Struthio camelus: one gene and its partners. The protein of the gene in region 1 purifies or fractionates together with the protein of each later gene. This does not show direct contact. Links are inferred from orthologs where the notes say so. Each region holds a gene or a part of one and is shown in the gene's direction. Other genes may lie near its edges.

Region 1 (7,107 bases):
TTTTGTGCTCCCAGAGGGTTCCAGGAGGTCCCAGGGCCACCTTTTGTGCTCCCAGAGGTTCCCAGAGCCAACTCTTGGGGTTCCCAGAAGATCCCAGAGCCACCTTTTGTGCTCCCAGAGGGTTTCAGGAGGTCCCAGAGCCACCTTTTGTGCTCCCAGAGGTTCCCAGAGCCAACTCTTGGGGTTCCCAGAAGATCCCAGAGCCACCTTTTGTGCTCCCAGAGGGTTCCAGGAGGTCCCAGGGCCACCTTTTGTGCTCCCAGAGGTTCCCAGAGCCAACTCTTGGGGTTCCCAGAAGATCCCAGAGCCACCTTTTGTGCTCCCAGAGGGTTCCAGGAGGTCCCAGAGCCACCTTTTGTGCTCCCAGAGGTTCCCAGAGCCAACTTTTGGGGTTCCAGGAGATCCCAGAGCCACCTTTTGTGGTCCCAGAGGGTTCCAGGAGGTCCCAGAGCCACCTTTTGTGCTCCCAGAGGTTCCCAGAGCCAACTCTTGGGGTTCCCAGAAGATCCCAGGGCCACCTTTTGTGGTCCCAGAGGGTTCCAGGAGGTCCCAGAGCCACCTTTTGTGCTCCCAGAGGTTCCCAGAGCCAACTCTTGGGGTTCCCAGAAGATCCCAGGGCCACCTTTTGTGCTCCCAGAGGGTTCCAGGAGGTCCCAGAGCCACCTTTTGTGGTCCCAGAGGGTTTCAGGAGGTCCCAGGGCCACCTTTTGTGCTCCCAGAGGGTCCCAGAGCCAACTCTTGGGGTTCCCAGAAGATCCCAGAGCCACCTTTTGTGGTCCCAGAGGGTTCCAGGAGGTCCCAGAGCCACCTTTTGTGCTCCCAGAGGGTTCCAGGAGGTCCCAGAGCCACCTTTTGTGCTCCCAGAGGTTCCCAGAGCCAACTCTTGGGGTTCCCAGAAGATCCCAGAGCCACCTTTTGTGCTCCCAGAGGGTTCCAGGAGGTCCCAGGGCCACCTTTTGTGCTCCCAGAGGTTCCCAGAGCCAACTCTTGGGGTTCCCAGAAGATCCCAGAGCCACCTTTTGTGCTCCCAGAGGGTTCCAGGAGGTCCCAGAGCCACCTTTTGTGCTCCCAGAGGTTCCCAGAGCCAACTCTTGGGGTTCCCAGAAGATCCCAGAGCCACCTTTTGTGCTCCCAGAGGGTTCCAGGAGGTCCCAGAGCCACCTTTTGTGCTCCCAGAGGGTCCCAGAAGATCCCAGAGCCACCTTTTGTGCTCCCAGAGGGTTCCAGGAGGTCCCAGAGCCACCTTTTGTGCTCCCAGAGGGTTCCAGGAGGTCCCAGAGCCACCTTTTGTGGTCCCAGAGGTTCCCAGAGCCAACTCTTGGGGTTCCCAGAAGATCCCAGGGCCACCTTTTGTGGTCCCAGAGGGTTCCAGGAGGTCCCAGAGCCACCTTTTGTGCTCCCAGAGGGTTCCAGGAGGTCCCAGAGCCACCTTTTGTGCTCCCAGAGGTTCCCAGAGCCAACTCTTGGGGTTCCCAGAAGATCCCAGAGCCACCTTTTGTGCTCCCAGAGGGTTCCAGGAGGTCCCAGGGCCACCTTTTGTGCTCCCAGAGGTTCCCAGAGCCAACTCTTGGGGTTCCCAGAAGATCCCAGAGCCACCTTTTGTGCTCCCAGAGGGTTCCAGGAGGTCCCAGAGCCACCTTTTGTGCTCCCAGAGGTTCCCAGAGCCAACTCTTGGGGTTCCCAGAAGATCCCAGAGCCACCTTTTGTGCTCCCAGAGGGTTCCAGGAGGTCCCAGGGCCACCTTTTGTGCTCCCAGAGGTTCCCAGAGCCAACTCTTGGGGTTCCCAGAAGATCCCAGAGCCACCTTTTGTGCTCCCAGAGGGTTCCAGGAGGTCCCAGAGCCACCTTTTGTGCTCCCAGAGGTTCCCAGAGCCAACTCTTGGGGTTCCCAGAAGATCCCAGAGCCACCTTTTGTGCTCCCAGAGGGTTCCAGGAGGTCCCAGAGCCACCTTTTGTGCTCCCAGAGGGTCCCAGAAGATCCCAGGGCCACCTTTTGTGGTCCCAGAGGGTTCCAGGAGGTCCCAGAGCCACCTTTTGTGCTCCCAGAGGGGGGTCTCAGGAGGTTCCCCACCCCGCCCCGGGGCTCGGCGCGGGACGGGCAGTGACGGCCGCGCGCGGGTGCCCGCAGTGAAGTACGAGCCGTGCCTGAACCCCGGCGTGCCGGCCAACGGCTACCAGACGCTCTACAAGCACCACTACCAGGCGGGCGAGTCGTTGCGCTTCTTCTGCTACGAGGGCTACGAGCTGCTGGGCGAGGTGACCATCACCTGCCTGCCCGGGCGGCCCTCGCGCTGGACCAGCCAGCCCCCGCTCTGCAAAGGTAGGGGACCCCCCCCACCCCACCCCACCTGCCCCACGGCGTCGCCCCCCCCCCCACGGCCGGCCCCGCTCACTGCCCTCCCCGCGTCTCCGCAGTGGCCTACCCCGAATATCTGGAGGAGCGGCGTCTCCAGGGTGAGACCTCCCCCCCCCACCCCCCTCCAACCCGCCGCGCTATGGGGCAGGGGGTGTGAGGGTTCTGGGGTGGAGGTATAGGGGGTATGGGGAGCTCTGGGGCAGGGGGTATGGGAGTTATGGGGTGGGGGTATAGGGCTATGGGGGGTTATGGGGTGGGGGTATGGGAGTTATGGGGTGGGGGTTTGGGGGGCTATGGGGCAGGGGTTATAGGAGTTATGAGGTGGGGGTATGGGGGGCTATGGGGCAGGGGTTATAGGAGTTATGGGGTGGGGGTATGGGGGGCTATGGGGCAGGGGTTATAGGAGTTATGGGGTGGGGGTATGGGGGGCTATGGGGCAGGGGTTATAGGAGTTATGGGGTGGGGGTATGGGGGGCTATGGGGCAGGGGTTATAGGAGTTATGGGGTGGGGGTATGGGGGCTATGGGGTGGGGGTATGAGAGTTATGGGGTGGGGATATGGGGGCTATGGGGCAGGGGTTATAGGAGTTATGGGGTGGGGATATGGGGGGCTATGGGGCAGGGGATATGAGGGGCTATAGGGTGGGGGATATGGGGCGTCTATGGGGAAAGGGTAAGGGAGTTATGGGGCAGGGGGATTGGGGAATGGAGGGCTATGGGGTAGGAGGGTATGGGGGAATGGGGGAGCTATGGGGCAAAGGGTAGGAGGGTGGGGGGCTATGGGGCGGGGGGTCTGGGGTGCTATGGGGCAGTATAGCGGGTATGGGAAGGGTGTGGGGCAGGGAGGTATGGGGGGGGCTATGGGGCAGGAGAGGACAATGGGCCATAGGGTGGCTATGGGGGGGGTTATGGGGCGCTATGGGGGGGGGTTGGGGGGGGCGGAGCTCCCGCCGCTGCTATAGGGCGGCAGGGGGAGGAGAGCAGAACACCACGTGGTGCAGTGCTGACGTCACCGCCCCCCCCCCCCCGCCGCCGCCGCGGCCATTGGCCGCGCAGTCACGCAGACGGCGGACCCCTCCCGCCAGCTGGAGGGCGGCAACATCGCCCTGGCCGTCTTCCTGCCCATCATCCTCGTCCTCCTGCTGATTGGCGGGATCTACGTCTACTACACCAAGTGAGCCAATCGGCGCCCCGGGGGCGGGACCCGCCGCGGCGCGGCGCTCTTAAAAGGGCAACGCCGGGTGGGGCCCACCGCCCCACCACCGCGTCTTAAAGCGGCGATGAGGGACAGGTCTTAAAGGGGCCGCGTCGCAATTTCGTTGTTTTGCCTGGAAGGAGGGGAGGAGGTGGTTGTGGGCGGCCCCATGGCAGGGTGTGGGGGGGGGGAAGGAGGGAGGGGGCAGGGTTGGCCTCACTGCCCCCATCCCCAACGTGTCTCTGCCCCAGGTTTCAGGGCAAGTCCCTGTTCGGCTTCTCCTTCTCCAGCTCCCACAGCTACAGCCCCATCACGGTGGAGAGCGACTTCAACAACCCCCTCTACGAGGCCGGGGTGAGCCTGCGACCCCCCCCAATCCATTCCTTGGGTATGGGGGGCTAGCCACGCCCCCTCCCATTGGCCACGCCCCCATTTGGGGTGGGCGGAGCCATAGCCTCACCCCCCCACCACCACCACCACTTCTCTCCCACCCCACAGGACACCAGGGAGTACGAAGTCTCCATCTGAAGGCCACGCGGACCCCCCCCCCGCAACCTGGGGGGAGGTGGTGGGGCAGGATCTGGCCCCCTCCCCCAGCGGGGGGGGGGTGATGGGTGCCTCCGTCGTCCCACAATGCCTTGCTTCCCCCCTCCCCAGCTCTGCAAACATCCACCTGCTAATGGTGACCCCCCCCCCTCCACCCAGCTCCCACCCTGCGAGCTTCTCCCCACCGGCCGGGACTATTTATTTAATTTATTTAATTAATTTATATATTTATTGGGATAAGCAGCGGGTGTCAGCGAGGTTTGGGAGGGGGAGACCCCCCCCCCCACCTCACCGAGACACTCAGTCCGCCCCTTTAAGGTCACCAGATGGGAAGATCCCTTTAAGGCGATCATTCTGCCTGGAGGACGTTTATTACCACTGCGGCCCCTTTAAGGGTTATATTGGGCGGGGTGCGGGGGGGGGGGGAAAGGAAGGGACACTTCGCCTTTAAGGTGCCAAATGCCGGAGGACACAAATTCACCCAACCCATCCCTTTAAGACCATTCGAGGGGGTGGGGGGGGTGAATTCAGGCCTTGCTCCGCCCACTTTGGGGAGGAGCCGCCGCCAGGCCACGCCCCCCGCACGCTCCATGTGCCAAACGCCCCCCCCACCTCCAAACACACACTCGCCCCGTTTTGGGTTCATTTGCTTGGGATTTGGAGCAATAAAACGACTCAATAAACGGCGCCGTTTCTAAGGCCGCCTCCGCCTCCGTCTGCGCCTGCGCCGCCCGAGGGGGGGGACCGCCCCCCCCCGCTCCACGCGTCACCGCGCTCCGACCAATCGGCGGCCGCGGCAGGCGGTGAGGCGCGCACGCGCGGTCGAGAGGGGATGTGGGGGGGGGAGAGAGAGAGAGAGAGAGAGAGAGAGAGAGAGAGAGAGAGAGAGAGAGAGAGAGGAGAGGCGCGCATGCGCATTCGCGGCGGAGGGGGGTGCCTCTTTCCGAGGGGCAGAATAGGCCTGTTGCGCACGCGCGTCTCCGCTAGCGCGCATGCGCGCAGCTGTCGGACCAACGCAGCGCATGCGCAAGACTCCTGGGGGGGGGGAGAGGCGCAGCTCCCTCCCCGCGCATGCGCTTTCCTCATCACCCCCCCCCCCGCGCGCATGCGCACCTCTCGAGGAACAACGCGGCGCATGGGCGCTGCTGCGGAGGGCGGGAGGGAAAGCAGCGGGGCTCCCGCCCCGCGCATGCGCGCGCCACTTGGCCCCGCCCCCTCCGCGCATGCGCAGCAGGGAAGGGGGGGAGGAAGCGGGAAAAGGAAAAAGGCGGGAGGGCGCACAAAATGGCGGCGGGGCGCCAGTGAGGGGAGGCCGCGGCGGGCCGGGGTCAGCGGGGTGGGGGGGCCCTGAGAGCCCCTTTGCCGGCACCATCCCGCCCCCGGCAGTGCCGGAGACGGCCCCCCTCCCCCCGTCAGGGTGAGCAGGGCGCGGGGCCCCTCGCTGCCGCCATGGCGCGGGGCTGGGCGTCGGGCCTCGACATGGCCACCCCTCGGCGGGGGAGGGAGCGCGCCGCTCCGTGTGGCGGTGACAGGGCGGCGTCGCCCGCGCCGCTGTGACCGGGCCGGGTGGGGAAGGGGGCTGCTTTTGTCACCTTTTTAGGGTGTTATCGGCTGAGGGAGCGTCCGACTTGGTCTCGTGTTTCCCCCCCCCCCCATTCTTTTCAGGAAATGATGGAGGCCACGGCGGAGGAAGACGGCGAGGTGACTTCGGGGCTCCAGTCCCTCGCCGTGGAGGACACGGCCGAGCCGGAGCGGGCTCCGACGCCGGCTGAGGCGGAGAGCGAGGCGCCGGCGGAGCTCCCCGAAGGAGGGACCGAGGCCGCGGCCCCCGAAGCCGCGGCAGAGGAGGAGGAGGAGGAAGAAGGGGAGGCGGCGGCGCCGGCGGAGGAGGGCGAGTGGGGGGTGCCCTGCAGCGACGAGGAGCTGGAGGGCGCCGACGCCTGGATGCCGGCCCCCGAGGAGATCCGCCGCCTCTACGAGCTCATCGCCGAGAAGGGCACGCTGGAGCTGCGGGCCGAGCCGCTGCCCCGGCGGGCCCCCACGCCCGAGCCCGACAGCGAGGAGGAGCGCCGCTCCGACGGGCAGCCCGAGAGCGAGGAGGAGGAGGAGGAGAAGTGAGGAAGGGCGAGAGGGCTTCCCGGCTCCGCCGGCGACGAAGCGCGCGTTGCGGGGGACGCCGGGCTGACGCTTTTTTCTCTCTCCCAGGCCTCGCGTCCCCACCGAGTTCGACTTCGACGACGAGCCGGTGACGCCCAAGAGCTCCCTCATCGACCGCCGCAGGACGCCGGGTAAGGAGGAGGCGGGAGGGCGCAGGCGGCCGCCGTCCCCTCGCCGCCCTCCGCAGGCGTTCGGCCCCCCCCCTTCCTTTGTCCTCCCCCTTTCCTAAATAGCGCCCCCCCCCTCCGCAGGCGCCTCGTCGCGGAGCCAGAAGCGGGAAGCGCGGCTGGACAAGGTGCTGTCGGACATGAAGCGGCACAAGAAGCTGGAGGAGCAGATCCTGCGCACGGGCCGGGACCTGTTCGAGCTGGAGGGCGCCGAGGCGGCGCCGGCGCCCAAACGCCCGCCGGGGCTCTTCCTGCGCCAGCGCAAGTACTGAGCGGCTCCCGCCGCAAACACGGGCGGGGGAAAGCCGCTGAATCCCGCCGTCTTTTTATTTCGTGCCGGGGGGGGGAGAGGGGGTTGGATTTGGGGGAAGGGGGCAGGTTCAATCGCTGTCGCCGTCGGAGCTGATGACGCCGCGGAGGCGCGACCAGTCCACGGGCGGGCGCCGGGGCGGCCCCTCGTCTTCCTCCGGGGGCGGCCGGGGGGCGTTGTAGAGGCTCCAGACGTTGCGCCGTCGGGGCCGGCCTGGCCGAGGGGAAGGGGGAGATGAAGCGGGAGGGCGAGGGGGCGCCGGGGGGGGGGGGCTGCCCCACACGCGCCGCCCCCGCTTACCCCCCGAGTCGATGATGTTGGCCGTGTCCAGCGCGGCCAGCTCCGCCGCCTCCTCCCGCCGCTGCTTCAGCGCCCGG
Region 2 (7,763 bases), on another chromosome or scaffold:
GGATCATAAACTAGATCACGCACACACAATGCAGAAATTGGAATTATTCATTTTTGTTAGAAGTAGTCTAATTACTAGAAATTAAATAACTTGTTGACAGATGACTCATTACATATATATACAGAAGTAAAAGATGGGTTCATTAATTTAATTACTCTGCATATTTAGAAGCTAACTGCAGGGAAGAATTATACGTGTTTAGCTATGCGAGTAGTATATGCTCCTGTGAGTGGTCATCTTGAAGCCAACAAAAATGTGGAAAAAACACGAGATACTTATATGTAAGAAGATTAATATCACTGCTGATAACCCAACAGCCACTCTAAGTGATGAAAAGTCCAAAATTCAGATATACGAAACTACTTCTCAGGGGCCACTAAACCTTTTAGGTGTCTAAAAGTCTACCAGGAAAGCTTTCTGTATGCGTGTTTCTGTGCGTTGTCTCATGGTACGTGCAGCAATGCACATGCTTTGACTGTGCTGCACAGCTAGTTGCCTACCTGACAGCTACTTGAGCTCAGAGAAGGCAGTGACAAGCAAATTGAGAGCAGTAATTTTTAAACCACTCCAGCCTTTTGCAAAGCAAATGCACGTCCAAAGCGCACAGGCACTGCCTCACTGAGACTGCACTATCTAAGTCTTTCTTTTTGACCCAGTCCCTAATCCATCCTCAGTAGAAGTAGATATAATCTGACCTACAACTTCACAGGACCGAGTCCTACGTTTGAATTAAGAATCTGGGCAAGAGGTTGAACTATCAGAATGAAACATGAAGCTAGTTTTGTCGAACAATTTCCAAGTCTTTAATAGCTTTGGCAGAAATATTGATACCAAATAAACCTACAGCAAAACAAAATAACTGTCTGGGTGGAGGTAGGTAGAAATGACCTTTTTGTTATTAAAGTGATTTTGAGGGAAGTAGGAGGAATGTGTAAAGTTTAGTTAGTGAAAGAAGGATGGCAGAAGTTCTTAGAGAAGTATATTTTTAACAGTGCAATTTGATTTGTTCATTAGCTTCTGCTGCTTTACTCTTAATTTGCAACACTCTACATACAAAACGGGATAAAAAACTGTAAAAGATCCCATAAAAATTTCAGTCTATTTATTTTAAACATGTTTAAATCACTATCTCTATGTAATTTCAGTGAATTCAGTTTAAATAACTTCCAGAACTTTCCACATATCTGTCTGCAAAGTATGCATGTGTATCTATATTCCATCTTCAAGAGGACTTAACAGGGTCTACTGTGACTTGTCTCAGAAATGGATTCACGCAATGCTATAAATTAGCTCTCTAAAAGTCTGTTAAGTCAGAGAACCTAATGTATGAAATTGGAAAAAAAAAAGTTCTGACGGGGTTTTAAAGTCTCTTTTTAAATGTATGTCATACTATGTCTACTTCTGCTTAACCACTAAGCAAAAATATGCTGTCTCCTACACTGCAGTTGGCACAGATATTCTCCAACTGGTAGCATGATTCTGCCCCTCAGGAAAAGAGGAGTTCTCATTTGACTTTTATGGGAAAAAAACTTACTTGGCTAGTTTAGAAACAAGAAATTCGAATTAATGATACAGAAGATTGGAAAGCTGATTCTTTAGAAAAAAATAATAGAAACTGTACCCTCTTATGCTTTAAGTTTGATGGCATTCAAAGATTTATTATAAGCATAAAAGCCAATTGACATTGCAAAATAGCATGCCAAAATGTATGCTGCTACACTAGTCAAAAGCTGTGAGGCCAATTTGAGCGATTAATGCTAAGTACTGCTTTGTCATGAACTTCAGTGTAAGCAGGACACAGCAAGCACATACATTTAATGTTTCGATTATAGAAGTCTCTCACTTTAGGGGGAAAACCTTTTATTTCTGGTTTTTACAACTTGATGAGAAAATTTTCCTCATTCTGAATATGCTAGGTGTTTTTTCAAATATATCAATTGGTTATTCTGAAAGCGTCAGAAGTAGAAAAAATATATATTACATTTTAGGAGAAATTCTGTTTACTGAATGACAGTTTTCTGTTTTAAACTTTGGGTTTTTTTGAGACTGAAGTTATAAAACAGATTTCTTTTTGCAAAGCTATTTTAGTGAATTCTTAAATTCTCTGTTTACATTGCATTACACTTCCATACTGTAAGTGGAATTAAACCTCATTCTTGGATTTTTATCATAATGGGTGAAAAAGTACAGTTCTGGTTCAGATTGACACGTTATTAACAAGCATATTTTTGCTGAAAACTGCTTTTGCAATGGTTTTCAGTGACTTAAATGTGCAGTGCTCCGACCTTGCACAGCTAACATCTGATATGCTGTAGAGGACTGTCAAACTGATGGGATTTTAAGTACCAAATTTATCTCATATTCTTGTGATTTGAATAGCTGACTCAACAGAAGATCAAAGAGGCCCAACGTAATGCCTCAATAGCACAATTTGAGCAGAAGGTTTGGGAAAGGGCATTATTATTAAAAATCATGTTCAAAGTGCCGTTTGTTTGCACTATGCTTCTTTGTCGGTATAAACATAACGCCTGCTTTGAAATATTTGTAATCTTTGTGTTGTGCAAAGAACTAAAAATAATGTGCATATGGTAAGCCCAAGGGATAGAAAGGCTAGGGGAAAATGTTTGCAGTAGCAAAGAAGACAGACTGAAGAGAGGAATCAAGAGGACAGATAACTCTGTTTTTTTTAGTGTGGAGTGGGAATATGCAATGGCAAATGAAATTAGATATAAGGGAAGTACTCATGGGAGGAGGGACAATTTAGCAATCATATTTGAGAAAGATGATGAAGGCAGGTAATGAATGACACCATGAAGAGAAAAGAATACATAGAGGAAAAATTGGAACAGAGAACAGAAACCTGAGAGACACTGATACTTGTAAAAGAAAAGAAGTGAGAACAACCAGTGCTGGAAAATACAGATAAGTACAGAGATACTGGAATCCAAAAGGAAAGAAAACTCAGTAAGCAATAGTGTTAATGCTTTACAGATGGTTTGAGAAGAATAAGGAAAATTAGGTGCATGAAGTTTTTGGTCAAAGTAGTTCTAATTTAGTGGGAAGAAGCCAAAACGGATCAAAAATGGAGCTGAAGAAGGTGGAAATTATGTAAGATGAAAGCAGAAGCCAGACTTGGGAGGCCTGGACGGCAGTTATAGAGAAAGGTGAGGTTCAGAGAAGCGTTTTTCAAAGGCAGTCCAGGAACATACTTGGGGTAGAAGAAAATGATCTAAACAAGAGTGAGTCGTTAGGAAAGATGGAAAGTGAGATAAGAGTGTGAATAATTGCATGAAGGGGATAAAACTGATGTTCAAAAGCAGATGGTTCTGCTCATTCAAAATTAGTTCAATAAATCTAATTTTCCCCTGGGGAAGTGCAACAGGCTCTGTGGACAGGAGACGAGAAGTAGCTGTCCTGTATTTTCTTGCACCCTTTGGATGTCGTCTCCGTAACACTGCTCTGAAGTACGGCAGAGAAACATCGTCTGCACAAGATTAATATGAGGGGTCCAAACTCCTTCGGAAAGCACAGTTAGCGTAGGGGCAGGATTTACCGGACAATACACAGATATTTAAAATATGTCAGCGAATCAGGGTCTAAAGTGCTTTTTTCCTCTCTCTTGACTGTAAAGGGAATTTAAGGTGATTGTTTCAGTTTTCTGAGCAGTTTTCCGGAGTCAGGTAAGATGAATCCTCCTTTAGGTTTCAGTGGTTTAGTATCATGGTAGAAGATGTTTTGAGCAGGCTTCTAAGGGAGAACGTCTGATTTTGGTAGTAATCAGTACTTTCATTAATGAGTAGGATGCCGGAATACCTAGTACGCCTATTAAATTTGCAGAGGGCTGCCAGCGGGGAGAGGTAACAACATTTTGGGACAGGACTGAATTTTGGAAGGTTCTCGACCGACTGAAGGAATGGTTTGAAATCAGAATAAAGCGCAGAACGTAGTAGGACACGTGCAGTACAGAAACGTTGTCACAGCTTGCAGTGGGGTTAGTCACGGGCGGTTGCTTGATTTCCCCTGAAGAACAGAGACGAAAGCCTGGTATCATGAAGAAAACGGGAGTCGCACAAGTGCTTTTTGGCTGTCACCAGGGTTTTGGAAACGGGGAGCGCGCTCCAGCCTCAGCGGGGCCCTCCTGAGCCACGCAAGGCCTAGCGCAGGGCCCGGGGCGCTGTGCTGCCAGGTGCCAGGCAGGCGTCGCCGGGGCGGGAAGGAGTTTCAGGCCGCCGTGTGACGGGGGGAGCGGGCCGCCCCCCAGCGCCGCCGCCGCCCGCGGCCGCTTCCCGCCCGAGCGCCCTGAGGGCGGCGAGGGGCGGCGGGGGGGGGGGAGGGGGGGGCGGGGCGGCGGGCGGGTAACGGTCCCCAGGGGCGCGGCGGGGGAGGCGGGGCCTGCGCTTGGGGGCGGGGCTCGAGGGCGGAGCGCTCCCTTCTCCTCTTCCCCCCCTCCCTCGCCTGTTTGCTAATGGGCGGGTCCGGGAATCCCCGCTGCCCGCCTCTGTCGTTCGGGGCGAGTCCATTGCGTTCCGTACGGGGGGGGAGCCGCGGGCCCGGAGGCTGGCTTCTGGTGCGGTTCGGAAAGCGGGGCAAGAGCGGAGATAGCGTCCGTGGAAGAGGAGCGGGCCTAGTCCTGCAACAGCCGGGGTGGCTGATCGGGCGGGGGGAGCCGCTTTGTCCCGGCGGCTCTCCCCTCCCCCCTCGGCCCCCCCTGCGTCCCGGCGGGGGATGGTGTGTCCCGCAGCGCGCGCCTTGCTCGCGCGGTTCGGCGGCTCGGCGGGGGGAGGGGACGGGAGACCCGGGCCCCGGCGGCTCTGCACAGTGCGCGCGGGGGATATTGGGGAGGGGGCGAAGGGGGGGGCGCGCGTGACGGCGGCCTCGGCCGGGACCATGTCGGCGGACGAGGAGGAGCTGAAAGTCCCCGAGGAGATGTTCAAAGATGTCAAGTTCTTCGCGGTGGGAGACATCGACCCCAAGGTACCGGGTCACCCTCTCCTCAACTCCGTTCCCCCCCCCCCGGGGGGGGCAGCATGGGCTCCTCCTGCTCCTCTTCTCTCCCCCCCCCCCCCCCCCCAGCACTTCACCGCGCGGGCTCGAGGCTCGCGCGCCGCCGCCGCACGCGCCGCGCTCCCCCGCGGGAGGGGCGGGGGCCGAGCGCGCGCGCGCGCCCTCCCTCCCTCCCTCCCAGCGCCCCCCCACCCCCGCCCCCGCCCCCGCCGCGGGGGAGCCATAACGGCCAGTAACGGCCGTGCCCGCGGCCAGCCGCGCCGCGACCCGCCATGGGAGCCAGCGGCCCCGGCGCGCAGGCCCCGTAGCCGCCTGAGCGGAGGAGGGGCGGGCGAAGGGACTTCCTGTTGGAGACGGGGCCGCTCCTCGGCCCCGGGCCTGGCCCGCCCGTGGAGCCGTGCGGCCCTCGGCGGACCCGACCGCAGCGCCGGGCGGGGGGCGGCAGGCAGCCTCTCGCCGTGCCGGCCCCGGCTGGGCCCCGCGCCCCTGGCTGTGGCCGGTGCAGGACGGGGGCAGTGACAGGCCGGCCCGGCGCCTGGGTGGCGGGGGGAGGCTCGGCAAACGAAGGCTTCGCTGTCACTTCCCTCCCCGCTCGCCCGTGCCTGCCCGCTCGGTCTCCGCCCTCCTCCTTGTGTCCCAGGAGCACAGTGCAGGACCCCCGTGGCTCCGCTGCCTGTCCCCGGATCTCTCAGGCCCATTGGACGGACAGAGATCCTGATGTGGTCACGACATGATCTTCCCTGCCTCGTGCTCCCCTAAGCTGCTGTCAGATGACCTTCCAGCCCTAGCACCTAGGGCAGTAGCCTGGATGTCAGGGCTGGCCTGTGGTAACATCCAGTTCTGCTGGATGGAAGTGCCAACAAAGTTTCCTCGGCATGTCCAATTAGACAAGTGTTTGAAGTGTGCCATATCTAGCTTTAGGACAGCAACTTCATGCTAACAGATTCCTGTGCATTTGATACTGAAATTTAAGTCTTGACTCTTTTGGTAGTTGCTGTAGTCTACCATTTGTTCAGTATCAGATTCCTTTCATCTCATGTTTTTTTCCACTTATGGGTGTTTAAACAAACTCGGGACATAGACATTGACCTATTTAAATGTTTTTTTGTGTTTTCACGTTAATAGGATTATATGTTAAATAAAGACTGGTAATGTAGTTGAAGAGTAGAAAAAACCCACAGCCTTTAGACATTAGCTATTTGAAAATGTATGAGAGCTTGAATAACACTATACATTTTTAAGAAGGTATAGCAGCAGTATTATTATATGTACAAAGATGAGTGCAGAAAACAACAGGACTCTCTTCTATATCATATGTATGGTGTCCCAAAAGGCATGTAGTTAGTTTTGTGTTGACGTAGCAAGACAATCAGCAGTATTCCCATAGAGCCAGTAAGCAATCATTCTCTTTTGCTAGTTTTTTTTTCTTAAGATAAATTTTATCTTGCTTAGCAGTTAACTTCGTTGTTGTCAAGCCTTAATGTGTTCTAAATTAGGTACACTCAGTTCTCATGTATTAGTGGATGACATTTCTGTGTTGTAGATAGACAGCTAAGGTGGCTCTGGCAGACTGTGTAAGCTTAGGCATAGCGCTACACCATAGTGGCTACCGCTGCTTCAGGTCATGCTGGAAGACTTTTAACCACTTTCTTTCTGTGTATGATGGCCAAATTGAAAAGTCCGATGGGTCTGAGTTGTTTCTGTAAACAGCCTGCTGGTCAGTTTGCACTCTTTCCTCCTGAGCTCTGGATGCTGAAATGGCTTAGTGCTTTGGCATAGGGTTAAATGGATGTCAGGACTTCTCAGCACTGGTGCCTGAGCTCATGAGCCCTCAGGAACATCAGGCACTGGGGAGTGCAGGTTGTGGTTCTGTGAGAGTCCTGTCTGGATTTGATTCAGCACCATCACAACCAAAGCTAATCAGAAGTGGGTTTTACTGAACTTGGGCAAGTTCCACTTAGGAACTTTTCACTGCTTCTCACAAGTACCCTCTGTGGTACCCTAGGGAAAAAATGAACAAGCAGGCTATTTACGTGTTGTGTTTTTAACCAGGACAGAAAGGAGAAAATCTAAATTAAATTCTACACATTTAAAAAAAATAGTTTCTATACTGAAATATTTATCCATTAGTATTATAAGAATACAGATATTTTCAAAATTATTTGCTTATTTATATACAAGTGGATACTAGCTTACTTTCAAAAAGAAGCTTCCTATTTCATCTTTTTCATCTTTATGCTTATCTTTTGGGGATGAGCATACTCTGATCAGCTTAAGTTTCCAAATGTTTTCATTGAAGGCTAGACATCCGAATCAATATTAAAACAGGCCTAGCAAAAATGAGGATTTTAATGAAACTAATCCAATAACAAGAACAAAATATAATCCATTCCGGTGAATAGCTACGTACCTACTACCTATTTAAAATATTTGCAGCATGAACTAGAAGGGAAACAAAAGTTTGGAATTGTGCCTAGATATTCTTTGGCAACTGGTGGAAAATTAGGCTTCTGGCTCTCAAATTTGAATCTGTTCCACTGAGATGTGCACTTGCCTGTTCACACCTCACTGGAGGTGGTGACGAGATGTCATCTTTTTTTTTTTTTTTTTTTTTAATAAATGCTTTATTTTCCTGACAGATGTAAACTACAATCGTCATGGTAAGATAACGCTACTAAAAATAGGCAAAGAGAGTAAAATACGCAGAGAGTAAAATAATATTGTGCAACGAGGACTTCGAACGTGAGATTTGGTTTCTG
Region 3 (6,893 bases), on another chromosome or scaffold:
GGTGTGTTTCTCAGCCACATCAGCCCAGCCAAAGTAGCTTAATATGATGAAAAGGCCTTAGGCTTTGGCGAGGCGAAGGTGTAAAGGTGTGATGTTAGCACATACATCACAGCGCAGGCAAGGCTGCCTTTAACACATACTAAACTAATCAAGCTAAAGCAGGCAGGGGACGGGGCGCCTGGCCTCGGGCACGACCGTATTAGCCCATGTCCATACACATATCCCAGAGTAGTTTGTGCGGGGAGCAGCTGTTGCAGAACGCGAGTCCTGATATCTCGTGCTGGAAAGCAGGTGAGAAAACCAAGAGCCGAAACGTTTTAACTTTTTAAACTTTTTTTTCTCAACGACCGTGAACCGTGCTGCCTCCAAAAAGAGCAGGTACGCTGAGCTTACGCTACGCGTCCGTCGCTCCGGAGCGCCCGATGGCTGAAACTCTCCAGCTGGCCGGGAACGCTGCTCCGGACAAGAAGCGAGGGCTAGCCCCAGCAGCGAGCGTCCCACCAAACCGCCGGGAAAGTCAGCGCTGCTCGAGGCTATGTCGTACCCAACATCCAGGCTGTGCTGCTGCCTGACGAGAGTCAGAGCTACGAGATGACAAGTAAGCAAAACGGATGAAAAGGAGAAACAAATATTTCAGGTTTAAAACTAGACTTCCACAACACGTTCGTTAGCTTATGCTAACTATTTTTTTTTTGTTGTTCAGCCACGTTTAGTACAAAAAAACTGGGAGTCGCGTATTTGTATGACGTAATCCTGATTTTGCCACTTGCTTTAGGTCCCGTCTATAACTCTTTAAAATTATCTCGGGTTTTCTTAATATAGAAAGAAAAAAACCCAGCTATTTCTGAACTGCTTCGGTGAATACTCACGCCCGTGCAGCAGAGTACAGCGGGCGCCTGATGTGCTGAGGACGCCCAGCTCCCCCCCGCACCTTGCCGCTGCAGCTGGCCGCTCTTGCAGCGGGGATAGTTCAATGGGATGTGCCCAGCACCAGGCCTTCCCCAGGGCTCAGAGCAGCAGACCGGAGCGAGCAGGTGTCGACTGCAGCGTACTGTTAGCAGCTTCGCCCTGGTTAAAGCCAAAGTGTTGCAATGCACCAGACATTTAAACGGTTAACGTGCTGCCGACGTCGTTTACTAAATGAAGTCTTTGTGGTAGCTCGATCGTTTCTGCAACGCAGAAACACGTCCAAAGAGAACAAAACCTAGACTTTTCATTTATTTCTACAACTTAGCGAACGATCGTTAACCGGCAGGGTTCTGGACTAACGTCGTAAAAGAGAAAGTATCTGGATCCCACCGCAGATAGGATCAGGAATCACCTTATTTCTTAGTATTTCTGTTACACAGACTGCTTCGGTGGTATCACGATACAATGGTACTTACAGGACCTGTTCATCTAATGCTGTGTCTTTGCTATAAAAACGTGTGTTTTTCAGAAAGAGACAATTTATAATGAGGTGGGTAGCCTCGGCCAGACATAAACGTGAAAGTTTTCCTGCCAGAGCTGCTGAAGCATCCCCCATCAGCAAGGCACTCCTACCCTGGGGTCACGCTCGGTGGCACAACTTCTCCTGGCTTGTCCCCCTGCCTTCATTGAGTAATACAAACAACGCTAGCAAAAACCGTTTCCCGCAATCGTACCTCCACTTCGGCTCGCTGTTCACAAGCGCATTTCAATCCTACGTACCTCTCCACACCTTTGATTGCCACAGCAATGGCAGCAGCAGTTTACAGAGCAGACCTGCCTAGCTTTGTTCGGACATGTAGCCGGAGGTAGCGCGCGGTAATGTAACTGATGGGCCTAAGTCCCTCAGCAGCCTCGCTACACCGAAACGAATTTCGCCCTGCCTCCACTAGGATTTTACGTTGTGACAACAACATCAGTACAAAACACAACCAGGAAGGACGTCACACACGCATAGTTAAACCCGCACCTCCCTTTGCATAAAAGGCAAAGCCCCAAACTCAGCTACCGAGGGTTAATTGAGAGGTGTTAAGCGGTGTTTACCTCGGAGGACTGGATGAACCACGTGCGGACAAGCGAACCTAGTGATTTCACCGAGTCTTTCTGCTGTGGGGCGCGACAGCGCTTTTCCACCCACGGCTGATCCGAGCCCAGGGCATCCTCACATGTCTACGCGCGGCTCGATGTGCACGTGCGCGGTGGCTCTGACACATCCTAGACTCGTCCCAGCCACCGCGCGCGCAGCAGATCGGCACATGCACGGTAATTATTTCAGGTGATGGCCTTTTTTTTTTTTTTTTGTTAGCAGACCAGATGGCAACCTGGCAACCCTGGCGAAGGCCTCGGCCGGTCACTCCCCCTTCCTCTGCCGCCCCTCTGCTCCAGCCAAGCCTGGGCCCGTGCGGTACCCAACGCTTTGGGTTCAGTTACGCTAACTGGCCCGAGTTTCACAAAGTTCAAGGTACTTTCTTCTGTGTTAGGCAGTGCATAAACAGAAAGGTTCCTGCATCTGAAGTCCTGCGAGCGGCACACCTTTGCAGTCATTTGGAGACTTTGTAATGCAAACATTTAGCGCGCAGCTATTTTTTCAATTGGGCAGAAATGAGTACGTGTTCAGTGACAGGGCCAAAGGAGTCACGTCAGCAATCCAGCTGGTCCCTGTCATCTTTGCACGCTTGGGCAAAAGCGATGTCTTTATATACATATGAATGTACCTTCACACGTGCATGTGTGTGCGTATGGATTGATGGAGCTATACGTTTTACCTGTATCTCCAAATACAGACAGGTAGCAGTCCTTATTACGAACGTCACAAAGATGTAATTTAATTTCCCACGAAGCCAGGAAGTGAAACAACGGAGACTTTCTTCTTGTGATGAAACGGCTCCCAGGAAAACAGTCCAGCCACAAGCCGTAGCTGGCAGCGCGTGCAATTTTTAACGCGGTGTTTCCGAAGAGGACAAGCTAAAATTCTGAGGGGTCGGGGAGGAAGGGGGGGAGAACAGCGAAAAGGCCCGCTTTGCCCCGCGTTTATTTTTAGGTCGAGGGAGGTGATGAACGGTAACTTCTCCCAACTTTCCCGGCGGTACCTGCGTGCCACCTTAGGCCGTTTTCATCAGCAGCTGCGATGCCAACAGCAAGCACTTCCATAGGGAGGGGGGGTGCCATAGCGCGGGGCAGCTGGGTCGCAGCTGCCGGGAGCCTCCCCGGCAGCGCGGCCGCGCGCTCTGCGCGACCCGCCGGCTGCGGAAAGGAGCACGCGCGCCCCGCGCAGCGCAGCGCAGCGCCGCGGGGCTCCCCCGCAGGGCGGGGCGGCGACCTCCCTCCGCGCCGCTGCTGCCGGCGGCGCCCGGCCAGCAGCCGGGAGGAAAGTCCGGGGGCGCGCCCGGCCCCCCCGAGCCGAGCCGAGCCGAGCCGAGCCGAGCCGAGCCGAGCCGAGGCGCGGCGGGCTGCGGGCCACGTTAACCGCCGGGTAACGAGGCGAACCCCGCCCCGCGGCGCGGCCCGGCCCGGCCGGGCGGGCAGGCGGCCAGCTGGGCCCCCGCCCGCCCGCCCGCTCCGGCCTCCGCAGACTTTGTCTCCCCCCGGCGCGCCGAGCCGGGGCCGCCGCCCCCCCCTCACCCTCACCCCCCGCTCCTCTCCCCGTCGCCTCCGCTGGGGAGGGGCGAGAGCCGCCGGCGGCACAGCGCGGGGGCGGCTGCCCGCCCGGGGGACCCCGGCTGCGGGGCTCGTCGGGATTTTTTTTAAATCGTTCTTTTTTTTTTTTCCCCCTCCCCACGGGGACGAGAAATAAAAACGGTCAGGGCGGGGGGGGGGGGAGAGCCGCGCGGCCGAGCCCGCCCCCCCCCACCCGCCCCCTTCACCTCCCTTCCCCGGCCTCGCCGTCCCGTCCGCGCTCCGCGGCTCCGCGCTTTGGGCGCAGCCGGCCGCGGCAGCCAGCCCGTGAGGTCAGTGGCGGCGGCGCGGGGCGGCGGGCCGGGCAGGCGCAGTGTGGGGCCCGGCGCGGGGGAGGGAGGGCGGCCGGCCTGTCTGTCTGTCTGTCTGTCTGTCTGTGTGTCGCACTGGCGGCGCGGGGGGGGGGGGGGGGGGTTACACAGCAGGGCAGCGGCGGCCGCGCCGGGATCCCTTCCCCACCCCGCCCCGCGGGGAGGGAAGCTTTCTCCTCCTCCCTCCTCCTCCTCCTCCTCCTCCGCCGTCTTCCTCCTCCCCCTTTTTCACCCTTCCTCCTCCTTCTTTCCCCAAAGTTAAACTTCCTGCTCCCGGCCCGGCTGGGAAGGGGACGCGGAGCCCGGCCGGACTCAGCCCTCGACACACACAACAGCTGGAGCTGTCAAAACTTCCTCCGCTCTTGCCTCGGCCCCTGCCGCCGCCGCCGCCTCCGCCGCCGCCGCCTGCTCCTCCTCCGCCCCCGGGGGCTCTGCGCGGGGGGAGGGCGCAGGGCCAGTGTACAATGAAGCGGCGGCCGCCGCCGCAGCCGGGCAGCGCCGCAGCCGGAGCCGCCGCCAGCTCCCGGGGCCTCTGAGAGGGGGGCGCCCAGCGGCGGGATTAGCCGCCTCTCGGCTCGCTCGCTCTCTTCACCTCCCCCGCCGCCTACCCCCGGCCCCGGCGGACCCCGCCGAGCCGCGGAGGGGGGTGTTATTGTGTGTGAGACCCTTCCTTCCTCCCTCCCTCCCTCTCTCCCTCCCTCCACTCCGCGCTCTCGCTCTTCTCTTCCCCCCCCCCCCCGCCCGCCCGCCCGCCCGCCCGCCTCCTGCCGCTCTCCCCATGCTGCTCCCCCTGCTACCTGTGCTGGTCGGCGGCGGCTGAGGCCAGCAATGCGCGGCGGAGGTGGAGGAGGCGGAGGTGAGGAGGCGAGGAGCCGCGGGAGCAGGAGGAGCATCGGGATCCCCATCACCATCCTCATCTTCATCATCATCATCATCCATGTGTCTCTCTCGTCCTGCTGACTAGGATGTCAACGGAGGACAAGAGTCTGGTGGTGGCGGTGGCGGAGCCGCCTCAGCAACAGCAACCCCCCGAGCCGGGAGCTCCCCCCCCAGCAGCAGCGGCGGCAGCGGCAGCCACAGACAAAAGACCTAGGGGCCGGCCTCGCAAAGATGGCGCTTCCCCTTTCCAGAGAGCCAGAAAGAAGTAAGTTCAGCGCTTGTGTGTGCGAGGCAGAGAGGGGCAGGGGGCCGGCAGCCGGGCGCAGGCAGAGCTGTCAGCACGGCCTGCCGGCTCGTCGCCCCCTCCCTCCTGCCTAGTGCCATTTTGAGAAGGGGCCTTCTTTCTTCTCCTCCTCTCCCCTTTGCACTTTCCCCTCCTCCTCCTTTTTCACCTTTGTCTTCCTCCGCCTGTTTTTCCCTTCTCACTTTTCTTTTACCGTCCCTGCGCCTTTTCTTTTCCTCTTTCTTTGGAGTTTCTCTTTAGCTCTTCCCCCCTCTCTTCCTCCCTTTCCCCCCCCCCCTTCCTTTGCACCTTCCCCCTTCTCCTTTTCGGGTCTCTCCTCCTCCAGGACGCTCGGCTGCCTTCAGCGTCGTCTGAATATTCTTTTACTCGATGGCAGCTCGTCGCTGTTTCCACCTGCCCCTCTTCTTTTTTTTTTTTAAAGAAAGAGAAAGAAACGATGGTTCTTGCCCTAAGTGGATGGCTATGAAAACCAGCCCCCCCCCCCCCAACACACACGGGTGCGGACGCGCACACACACAAAGTTTAGGCAGGACTTTCTTCGCCTCCGCCTGGCGGTGTGCTCGGAGGTGGAGGGAGGCTGACGGCGCTGAGGGGAGCTGTCAAGCGGCCTCTCGCCCAGGGACGCGGCCGGCCGCGCCGCTGGGACGGCGAGGCTGCCCAGTGGCGAAGCACAACAAACACCGGGGGAGGGGGGTGGGGGCTGCCGCCGCCTCCTCCTCCTCCTCCTCCTCCTGTGCTGTGGCGGATTTCCTTTCGCCGCCGCCAGGCTGGGCACAGCCCGGGCAGTGCCCCGCAGGCCGGCGGCGAGGGGTGGGGGGGATGTGGGCGCGCCCGCGCCGCGGGCGACCGTTAGCCCCAACGGCCGCGGCGGGCGCCCCAACGGCCGCGCGGGGACCCCGGGCGCTTCGTGCTCGTCTCTGGGCCGGGCGGCGGCGGCAGCGCAGGCAGTAAGGGGGGGGGGGCAGGTCAAGCGCGGATCCCTTGGTGTTGGGCATGCCGAAGTTTCGGTAGAGCCGGTGCGAAGAGCGCGGCGGTGCCCAAGCCCGATTTTTGACGCACCAAAAGGCTAAGAGACATGGGTGAAACGGCGCGTGTGTTTGTTTCAACGCTGATAGGAGTTGGGTGTCGTGTCGGGCGGTGGTGAGAAGGCCTGATGCCCGCAGCAGTGGAAGTGCCGCGCCTGTACGCCGTGTACTCCCTTCGGGTTGTTCCTGCGTAGGGTGGCGTAGCTTCTGGAGGCGGTGACAGGACCGAAGGAGGCTAACGCCTTTTGAGAAGAAACATCACAGTTTTCAGCAACATAGGAAGTCTGTGCGTTGTAGAATTGGTTGCAGCCGCGGGGTTTTCGAGTTTGTTTCTCTTTGTTTTAAAGCGGCGCTCTCAGTTTGACGTCGGTCGAGTCTATTTAAACAGGTGAGTTGCTGGCACTTGGTTAAATGCCCACCCCAAGCGGCTCAGCGGCTTTCTGGGTTTCACTGTAGAATGACAAAACACTGGAAAGGAGTCCTGCTGTGCAGGAAATAAACACACGTAAAGAAAATATTTTTCTCTATTGCAACTTGAAGTGCTGCTACATGTTTATGCTGCATAAATATTCCAAGACAGAACTATCGTGAGTTAGGGATATCTGAATGATTTTTGTTCTTATTGATGAGAGTTTCCCTTGAAACATTCTAATGTTTACCCTCTGGTTTTGGTGGAGAGGCTCATTCACAGCTCCCCCCTTCAAAAACCTTATTTTTTTGCTTAATGCAAAT

Evidence for each region. Proteins that work in one complex are often made in the same cells at the same time.
Region 2: the proteins of PAGR1 (region 1) and PAXIP1 purify together in Homo sapiens (affinity purification with mass spectrometry; 6 studies listed by BioGRID and IntAct, with this or other methods). This does not show direct contact. The link is inferred for Struthio camelus from reciprocal best matches to the Homo sapiens genes PAGR1 and PAXIP1.
Region 3: the proteins of PAGR1 (region 1) and KMT2C purify together in Homo sapiens (affinity purification with mass spectrometry; 3 studies listed by BioGRID and IntAct, with this or other methods). This does not show direct contact. The link is inferred for Struthio camelus from reciprocal best matches to the Homo sapiens genes PAGR1 and KMT2C.

The regions. Positions count from the first base shown.
Region 1 is NC_090973.1:652,093-659,199, reverse strand, and holds PAGR1 (PAXIP1-associated glutamate-rich protein 1), read left to right. Parts: upstream 1-4,106; 5' UTR 4,107-4,899; intron 4,900-5,225; exon of another isoform or gene 5,226-5,513; intron 5,514-5,761; 5' UTR 5,762-5,764; coding exon 5,765-6,210; intron 6,211-6,301; coding exon 6,302-6,384; intron 6,385-6,504; coding exon 6,505-6,692; 3' UTR 6,693-6,727; downstream 6,728-7,107. Other genes in the region: SEZ6L2 (seizure 6-like protein 2), read left to right, coding at 2,129-2,320, 2,416-2,454, 3,412-3,529, 3,802-3,904, 4,049-4,078; HIRIP3 (HIRA-interacting protein 3), read right to left, coding at 6,801-6,943, 7,031-7,107. UniProt on the Homo sapiens protein: Its association with the histone methyltransferase MLL2/MLL3 complex is suggesting a role in epigenetic transcriptional activation. However, in association with PAXIP1/PTIP is proposed to function at least in part independently of the MLL2/MLL3 complex.
Region 2 is NC_090943.1:9,729,879-9,737,641, reverse strand, and holds the start of PAXIP1 (PAX-interacting protein 1), read left to right. Parts: upstream 1-4,760; 5' UTR 4,761-4,887; coding exon 4,888-4,974; intron 4,975-7,763.
Region 3 is NC_090943.1:8,562,021-8,568,913, reverse strand, and holds the start of KMT2C (histone-lysine N-methyltransferase 2C), read left to right. Parts: upstream 1-3,890; 5' UTR 3,891-3,914; intron 3,915-4,673; exon of another isoform or gene 4,674-4,750; coding exon of another isoform or gene 4,751-4,888; intron 4,889-4,917; 5' UTR 4,918-4,918; coding exon 4,919-5,097; intron 5,098-6,893. Other genes in the region: uncharacterized protein, read right to left, coding at 4,751-4,888. UniProt on the Homo sapiens protein: Histone methyltransferase that catalyzes methyl group transfer from S-adenosyl-L-methionine to the epsilon-amino group of 'Lys-4' of histone H3 (H3K4).